Linked DNA regions of Xenopus tropicalis. The protein of the gene in region 1 interacts with the protein of each later gene in a biochemical or structural test. Links are inferred from orthologs where the notes say so. Each region holds a gene or a part of one and is shown on either strand. Other genes may lie near its edges.

Region 1 (3,500 bases):
TATTCTGTAGGGATGATAAGAGCAGCCTTGTCAATACAGTAGACAGTCTTATGGCAGTGTATGCTGATAACTACCAACTGTGCAGTTTCTCACATCATGTGGAATAGGGGTTTTCGAGTATAGAAAGGTTGATTGGTAGGACCAGGGTAGACCAAGTTTATAGACACCAAGCACTGATACATAAGTGGGAATGTGTGTGTGTTGAGTTAGGATTTGATGGTGGCAGCAAATGAGCTGCAAAGAACCTACAAACGGAGAAACATCATATTTATTTTGTACAGAACTAAAGCAGGAATTCGCAAGCAGCCAAACTACAATGTTTAGCATCTTTAGCCAGTCTATAGACACCTAAAGCATTCTAGATTAATTATGAGAAAAAGATAATCAGTCATAACTGACAACACTTTCAGTAACTCAAGAGTGCATTACTAAGCTTGCTGCTGCCCAACATTTGGAGTGGTGGTCAATCTGCTGGGTCCAGACTAACTAAACAAGCCGACTTCTGCTGTCCATGTGCAGCAGGTCAAAAATTGAAAGCCAGACCATTTAGTGTGAATGAGTGGGGGACCCAAAGGTTTACTGTAATATGTGTTTGCAGTTATGCCATGGCCAGACTTAAGACTGACAGCAGCAATTGTGCTTTATAGAGTAACATCTGTCACAAAAGGAAAATCTCTCAAAGAAATTCAATCTATTTGGTATGCAGTATATTAGAAAAATTGCTAAGGCCAGTGCCACACACAGCACTTTTATCTGCTTCCAGCCTCCTGGTCTTGTGTGTGTACCGACACGCATGAATTCAACATGTATTCTTATTCAAAAGCCAGGAAGGCTGGAAAAGGGCACAAACCCTCAGTGGTGGGATGGTTATGCCATCACTGTCCGTTTCTGTACATTTAAATCTGTTCCTTTAAATGTGCACATCTTTATAGCTGAAGTTTTCATTCTTTTGAATAGACAACAATTCTATTGTGAGATATTGGGACTTCCCATGTGGCTAACTGCTGTCTCACCCCAATTCAACAGCTGAGAGTATGGTACACTAAGAGTCCCCTTTAAATCAATGCCAAGAGGCTGACAGCGGCTTTGCTATCAAACACAGCTGCTGATGTTAAGCACACAGACTGGGCACGCATGCTGAAGACACCTTCTGCATTATTAATGAAAGCACGCGCCGCTCTGCAGCACAAGACAAGGGGGGATCAATTGTCTTCCTATTACACCTCCTACCATCCTCACCAGACTAATGTGTCCTCCACTGGCCAATGGTGATTATAAAAAAAAAAAAAGAAGCTTGATTGATCCAGGAATAACTTACATGTATTTAACATCAGTGCTGTGTTTGTAGCGAATAACTGAAGGGGGTGTGGATGAGAACAGAAAATAATAAAGGTCCCTGCAGACACATCTACATGCTACAGGTAGGGTTATATTAAAATAGATTGCCCTGTATCACAAGCACACAACACACTGTTATTCTTCGGCAGAAGCCTTATTATGAATCATAAATAACAACCTGATACTGGGGCTGAGATTGCCAACACAACCTGGAGAAAGAATCTAAAAAAAACTTCTTGCTATCATCTTTTGTTTTAGTTGAACACTTTATAAAGGGATTTTAGTCACATTATATTGTCTGAAAATAAATAGGAAATGCAGTAAACCATTGCTTAAGTTCTCCTGTGTCTATGTACAGCATCCCTATGCTGCCACCCAACTTCAATATACAGGTTTCCAGGTGATCTGGCCAGCATCCTCATCTGTGTCCCAATCAAAACCTTTCACAGTTCTGCCAAAGGATGAGCAGCACCCAAGTGCATATTCACTATTACCCCAAGTGTGATAACAGGACATATTAGGTTAAATTTGAAACACTACACTGTGTTCTCTAGCTGAATCTCATCCTTGTTCATGTTAATATTTATATATAAGGATGGGGGCTTCATGCCTTATATATGGCAACAGAATCAGCAACATAGTGTTGTTCAGTATGGCTGCCACATTTGAACTACTGTTAAAACTGTTTTACCCTGTATTTCAAGAGCAGACACTGCTGTCCTTGGTGCCGATATTCTTAGGGCCTCCTTACCTGTGTGTGAGCGTAGGTGGCGTTTGAGTGCAGTGTGGCTGGGGAAAGTCCTGTTGCACTCACTGCAGATATAGCTTCTCACTCCTGCATGGACCTCCATGTGCTGCTGCAGGGCAGTCTGAGTCTGAAAGCGCTTTCCACAAAGTAGACAGAACACAGCCATGTCTGAGCCTGAAATGCACAAGGAAAAAAAACATTATGGCTGTGTCTGCTTAGGTCCCTCCATTGTCCATGTCCAAGTTATATATTCAAATACATCTATACAGCCAAAGCAGCTTGCATGACATTTCTTACTGATTAAACCAGATTTCTTCTCTCTGCTCAGTAAAACTAAGCAAGTATTATACATTTTTGGGATACAAAAAAAAAATAGATAGAGAGCTGAGGATTTTCTATACAAATAAATGTCAGAAGGTATGGGAGGGGGGTATCAGGAGTTTCTCTGCTAAAATACCCCAGCAAAGAAATGCTACATATCCCATAAGCCATAGGGGAGTAATAGGAATGTGGCTGGTTTTAGTGATGTCTGGGGCTTTTGATTATAACAGAAAATTTATTTTTGACTACAAGGCCCACCTAGTGGCAAATGGTAAAATTATTAGTTAATATGTTATGATTTGGGTGAATAGGCATTTGGGTATAAGGCATAGTCATATCGCAACCCTCCCGCCCCCCCACTGCTTACTGTGGTACTCGCCTAAGATCAATTGTACAATGGATAGTCAATGGATAGTCAAAAGCTCACAGCCATGTTTTCAAGTGACAATGACTTTTCAGCTTATTGCCATTGCAGGCAACAGAAGGGGACTCATTCACCTTGTGGGTTTTTGCCCTTCATATGTGGAAGGCATGCACATAATGTCCCCTTTTGGCACACTTCTTTATATGGCAAAAGGCACACCAACACAGTGTTCAAGGAAAATATTTTCAAATGAATAATAATAATGATAATAATAACACGTAATTATAATAAAGAGTAAGAGAATGCCACATCAGCAAGATAGCATTTTGAAAATTTGGTATCATGCAGAGTGACCCAAGACAAACTGCACACATTTAATAGACTAATAAAAGCCCTGTTCTCTTGTAACACTTGTACAATAAGTCATTTTTCAATTATTTTATGATAATATTCTTCTCTATTTGCCAAGAAATGGCACAATGGTGCAATCAGATTTAACAGAGAATCACAATAATTAAAGAAAATACTCTGTACAGTAGCACTAAGTCTTAACGTCTGGGAATAATGATGATAGCCTGCTGTTTATTATTACAGATAACTGTACCTCATTTACTTTATTATAGACTAAGCAGCAATAATGGTAAAATACAGGTAAATGGAGAAGCAAATAATGAAATGTTGTGTATTTATTATTTATACATAGTTATAAGAGAACACAAGAAAACTATA
Region 2 (3,957 bases), on another chromosome or scaffold:
TTTTTAGCCTGCATTTTGCATCTGCTCTCTTCTGCAGCTCTGTATAGCTACACCAACATGAACAGATCCCAACTGAGTGAGGCTACTAAGAATAAAAATTGGCATAAAAGCAGGCATTTTCAGGCCAATCTCCCTTGCACTGTGTCTATCGGTACTACAACTATACAGAGCTGCGGAAGTGAGCTGATGCACTTCTCTCCAGTTGCCTACAAAATGCAGGCTGATATTAAATCCAGATGGGCAACTCACTGCCCATAGGTGTATGGGTGGTTTTTGTGGCTGAGGAGGATAATTAAAGATATTTTCCACAAAGATTCCTTCATAGTATCCCAGGGGCAAATTCCACATATAATACCTCATTACAAAAGGTAGGATAAAGGCAATTTCATGTAAAATACCTCCCAGAATTCCTTGTAGGATAAATGTAGTGCCTAGTTGAGGTATAATATACTAAAACACAAGGCAGGATAATTATAGTGTGTCGATTTCAGGTATAAAATACCGGAACACATGGCAAAATAACTATACAGTGCCGGTTTCAGGTACTACATGCCGGAACACACGGCAGGATAACTATACAGTGCTGGGTTTCAGGTACAATGTGCTGGGTCTCAGGTACAATGTGCCGGAACACATGGCAATATAACTATACAGTGCCGGTTTTGGGTACAATATGCCAGAACACACGGCAGGATAACTATACAGTGCCGGTTTCAGGTACAATGTGCCGGAACACACGGCAGGATAACTATACAGTGCCGGTTTCAGGTACAATGTGCTGGGTTTCAGGTACAATATGCCGGAAAACATGGCAAAATAACTATACAGTGCCGGTTTCAGATACAATGTGCCGGGTTTCAGGTACAATGTGCCAGAACACACGGCAGGATAACTATACAGTGCAGGTTTCAGGTACAATATGCCGGAACACACAGAAGAATAACTATACAGTGCCGGTTTCAGGTACAATGTGCTGGAACACATATAGATTGTAAGCTCTACGGGGCAGGGACCTCCATCCTCTTGTGTCTTTGACTCTTAACTTATTGCAACTGTATCTTGTATTTATTTGTGCTTATTGTAATACTTTGTATTTATCTATTTTAATAACCCTGTTTATATTAATGTATTCTACTGTACAGTGCTGCGTACATAAGTAGCGCTTTTTAAATAAAGTTATACATTATACATACATGGCAAGATAACTATACAGTACCAGTTTCGGGTACAATGTGCCGGAACACACGGCAGGATAACTATACAGTGCCGGTTTCAGGTACAATGTGCTGGGTTTCATGTACAATATGCTGGAACACATGGCAAAATAACTATACAGTGCCGGTTTCAGATACAATGTGCCGGAACACACGGCAAGAAAACTATACAGTGCCGGTTTCAGGTTCAATGTGCTGGGTTTCAGGTACAATATGCTGGAACATATGGCAAAATAACTATACAGTGCCGGTTTCAGGTACAATGTGCCGGAACACATGGCAGGATAACTATACAGTACTGGTTTCGGGTACAATGTGCCGGAACATACGTCAGGATAACTATACAGTGCCGGTTTCAGGTACAATGTGCTGGAACACACATCAGGATAACTATACAGTGCCGGTTTCAGGTACAATATGCCGGAACACACGTCAGGATAACTATACAGTGCCGGTTTCAGGTACAATGTGCTGGAACACACATCAGGATAATTATACAGTGCCAGTTTCAGGTACAATATGTGGGAACACACGGCAGGATAACTATACAGTACCGGTTTCAGGTACAATATGAGGGAACACACGTCAGGATAACTATACAGTGCCGGTTTCAGGTACAATATGTGGGAACACTTGACCAATATTCAACTGTGCCAGTTCCATGTATAATACCCCACAATGCACTGCAGGATATAATGGCAAATTCTTACATAATAACCCTAGAACACATGGCAGGACACATTCAGCACCAAGGTCATGTATAAAACCTCTATCCAGTTGGTTGATTTAGAGAGGCTTAGTTTTGTTTAACATGAGCCCATGCCACTGCCCAAATCAGTGCATTAGTGGCACAGCCCTGCTAGCCATATTGGCAAACACAAATAAGAGGCACACCTACCCCTTGGCGAGGCAACGATGTGGTTTCCTACTGTAAACACTCTTTTATCTTCATACTGGAAACTTTCCCCAGCCGGTGCAAAGTCGCTTGTGGCTTTACTGAAAACTTCATTCTGATGCGCCCCTATCACCGCTCCATAGACAAACACATAGGAGACTGCAAAACAAAACGGGAGCCCATTACACAAGCTCTAATGGGAATTATGGCATTGCCATTTTCTGCTGTTATGTAAATATCCCCTCAGTAAATACATTGCACTACGAGAAGTGATGCCACCTCCCTAGAATAAACGTGCGCAGCTGCATTTCTGCGAGCGGTACGAGAGCAGCCATTTATAGGATGGGATTAGCTAAAAATAGGGAGCAGTCATTGAGCCTTTGGGTTCAACGCGTAAAGTGGGGAGAGAATGTCAGGGAAAGAATATGGCTTACCTTGCAGGAGAAGCAGCAGAGCAAGTTTCATGAAGTTCATGTTCAGTTAGGAGAAGCGCAGGGGGCGAGTGAATGAGAGACACAGGCGGGACAGAGACGGGAGAGAGCAGAGCGCTCGGTAGGGGCCATGCAGCTGAGTGAGTCGGCCCGCACACTGAATGGACGCGCTGTGGGACTGGCTGCGGGGAGGCACAGTAGGGCGGCATATGCTTTGCTTAAAATATGGGCGGCCACTCCCTTCCTTGACTAAGAACTTACTCACGGCACCATCATCGTGTGTAGGCTTTAAAGCCGCCGCTGGGGGTAGAACCAACAAACCTGATTCTCTAAATAACTTTTCCTTGCGGTACTCGGCGGTGATGCGAGTAAAAGTTCGACCGGACTTCCATTGTAAACAAAACTGTACGGGGTACAAAGGTGTATTTTTGTTTAATACGTTAAAGAATGATTTCTAATTCGGATTAATTCTGAAGGAAGACATGGGTTGGGTGCTATTTTCATGCCTGGGCTGGATCCTTGGCTGTGTTGGTGTCTGGGGGGGAAGTTGTGGTCGGGTTTCGGGTATGATGCCCCATTCTACATGTGTAACTAAACATTTCCTACAGGTTCATCAGTCTGTATTGCTCATTAAATGTGACTAATATGTTTCTAAATATAAATGCTCTATTTATTCTGAGCCGCCCACTTCTGCATGCCAAAAGTGTCAAAGGTACGCCAAGAAAAATGTTTATCCAGAAACCTGTTATCCAGAAAGCTCCAATTTACAGGAACACCATCTCTTATAGAGTCTCTTATATAGAAAATTATGTACTGTTGTAAAACATAGGGACATTATAAGTCACTGAGGAGTTTCATGACCATATAAAGGCCGAAAGCTTTTATACAGGTCAAGGAACTCCAAGGTGACATCTAATATCCAGGGTCGGACTGGGCCGAGAAAAATCCGGGTGGGCCCCTGCTCTAGTGGGCCCTGGCGGCCCAGACCTGACCCTTTGCCGACGCTCCCCCTGCCTGACAGCTCCTCCCCTGATGCGTTAAATTTACACGCTCGGGGGAGGACGTCGGGTGGGGGGCCCTGCGAGAGGGGTTAGGGGGGCACCTGCAGGGCCCCTGGGGAGGGAGACCCGTTGGGCCCTTCACCCCCAGTCCGACCCTGCTAATATCTTCCTATTTTACAACAGGGAGTACATTATTATAATACAAAGGTTTCAGTGAGTCGTGACAGAAATTACATCCCTAAGCACTAATTATAACTAAAAGCAATAATCGTTTATAAGGATATGAGTAACAGGATATGTGTGGCTCTTGTGTATTATAAGCACATAAGTCTAATTTAAATTATTTGCTTTTTCCTCTGTAATAAAACAGTACCTTGTAACTAAGTAGTTTGGATTCCCCTGCAAAAAAATCTTCT

What was found. The genes of interacting proteins can lie anywhere in the genome.
Region 2: the proteins of zbtb16 (region 1) and hbegf form a complex in vitro, tested with the Homo sapiens proteins (2 studies listed by BioGRID). The link is inferred for Xenopus tropicalis from reciprocal best matches to the Homo sapiens genes ZBTB16 and HBEGF.

The regions. Positions count from the first base shown.
Region 1 is NC_030683.2:85,590,315-85,593,814, reverse strand, and holds part of zbtb16 (zinc finger and BTB domain-containing protein 16), read right to left. Parts: intron 2,261-3,500; coding exon 2,090-2,260; intron 1-2,089. UniProt on the Homo sapiens protein: Acts as a transcriptional repressor. Transcriptional repression may be mediated through recruitment of histone deacetylases to target promoters. May play a role in myeloid maturation and in the development and/or maintenance of other differentiated tissues.
Region 2 is NC_030679.2:31,763,987-31,767,943, reverse strand, and holds the start of hbegf (proheparin-binding EGF-like growth factor), read right to left. Parts: upstream 2,801-3,957; 5' UTR 2,584-2,800; coding exon 2,544-2,583; intron 2,269-2,543; coding exon 2,113-2,268; intron 1-2,112. UniProt on the Homo sapiens protein: Growth factor that mediates its effects via EGFR, ERBB2 and ERBB4. Required for normal cardiac valve formation and normal heart function. Promotes smooth muscle cell proliferation. May be involved in macrophage-mediated cellular proliferation.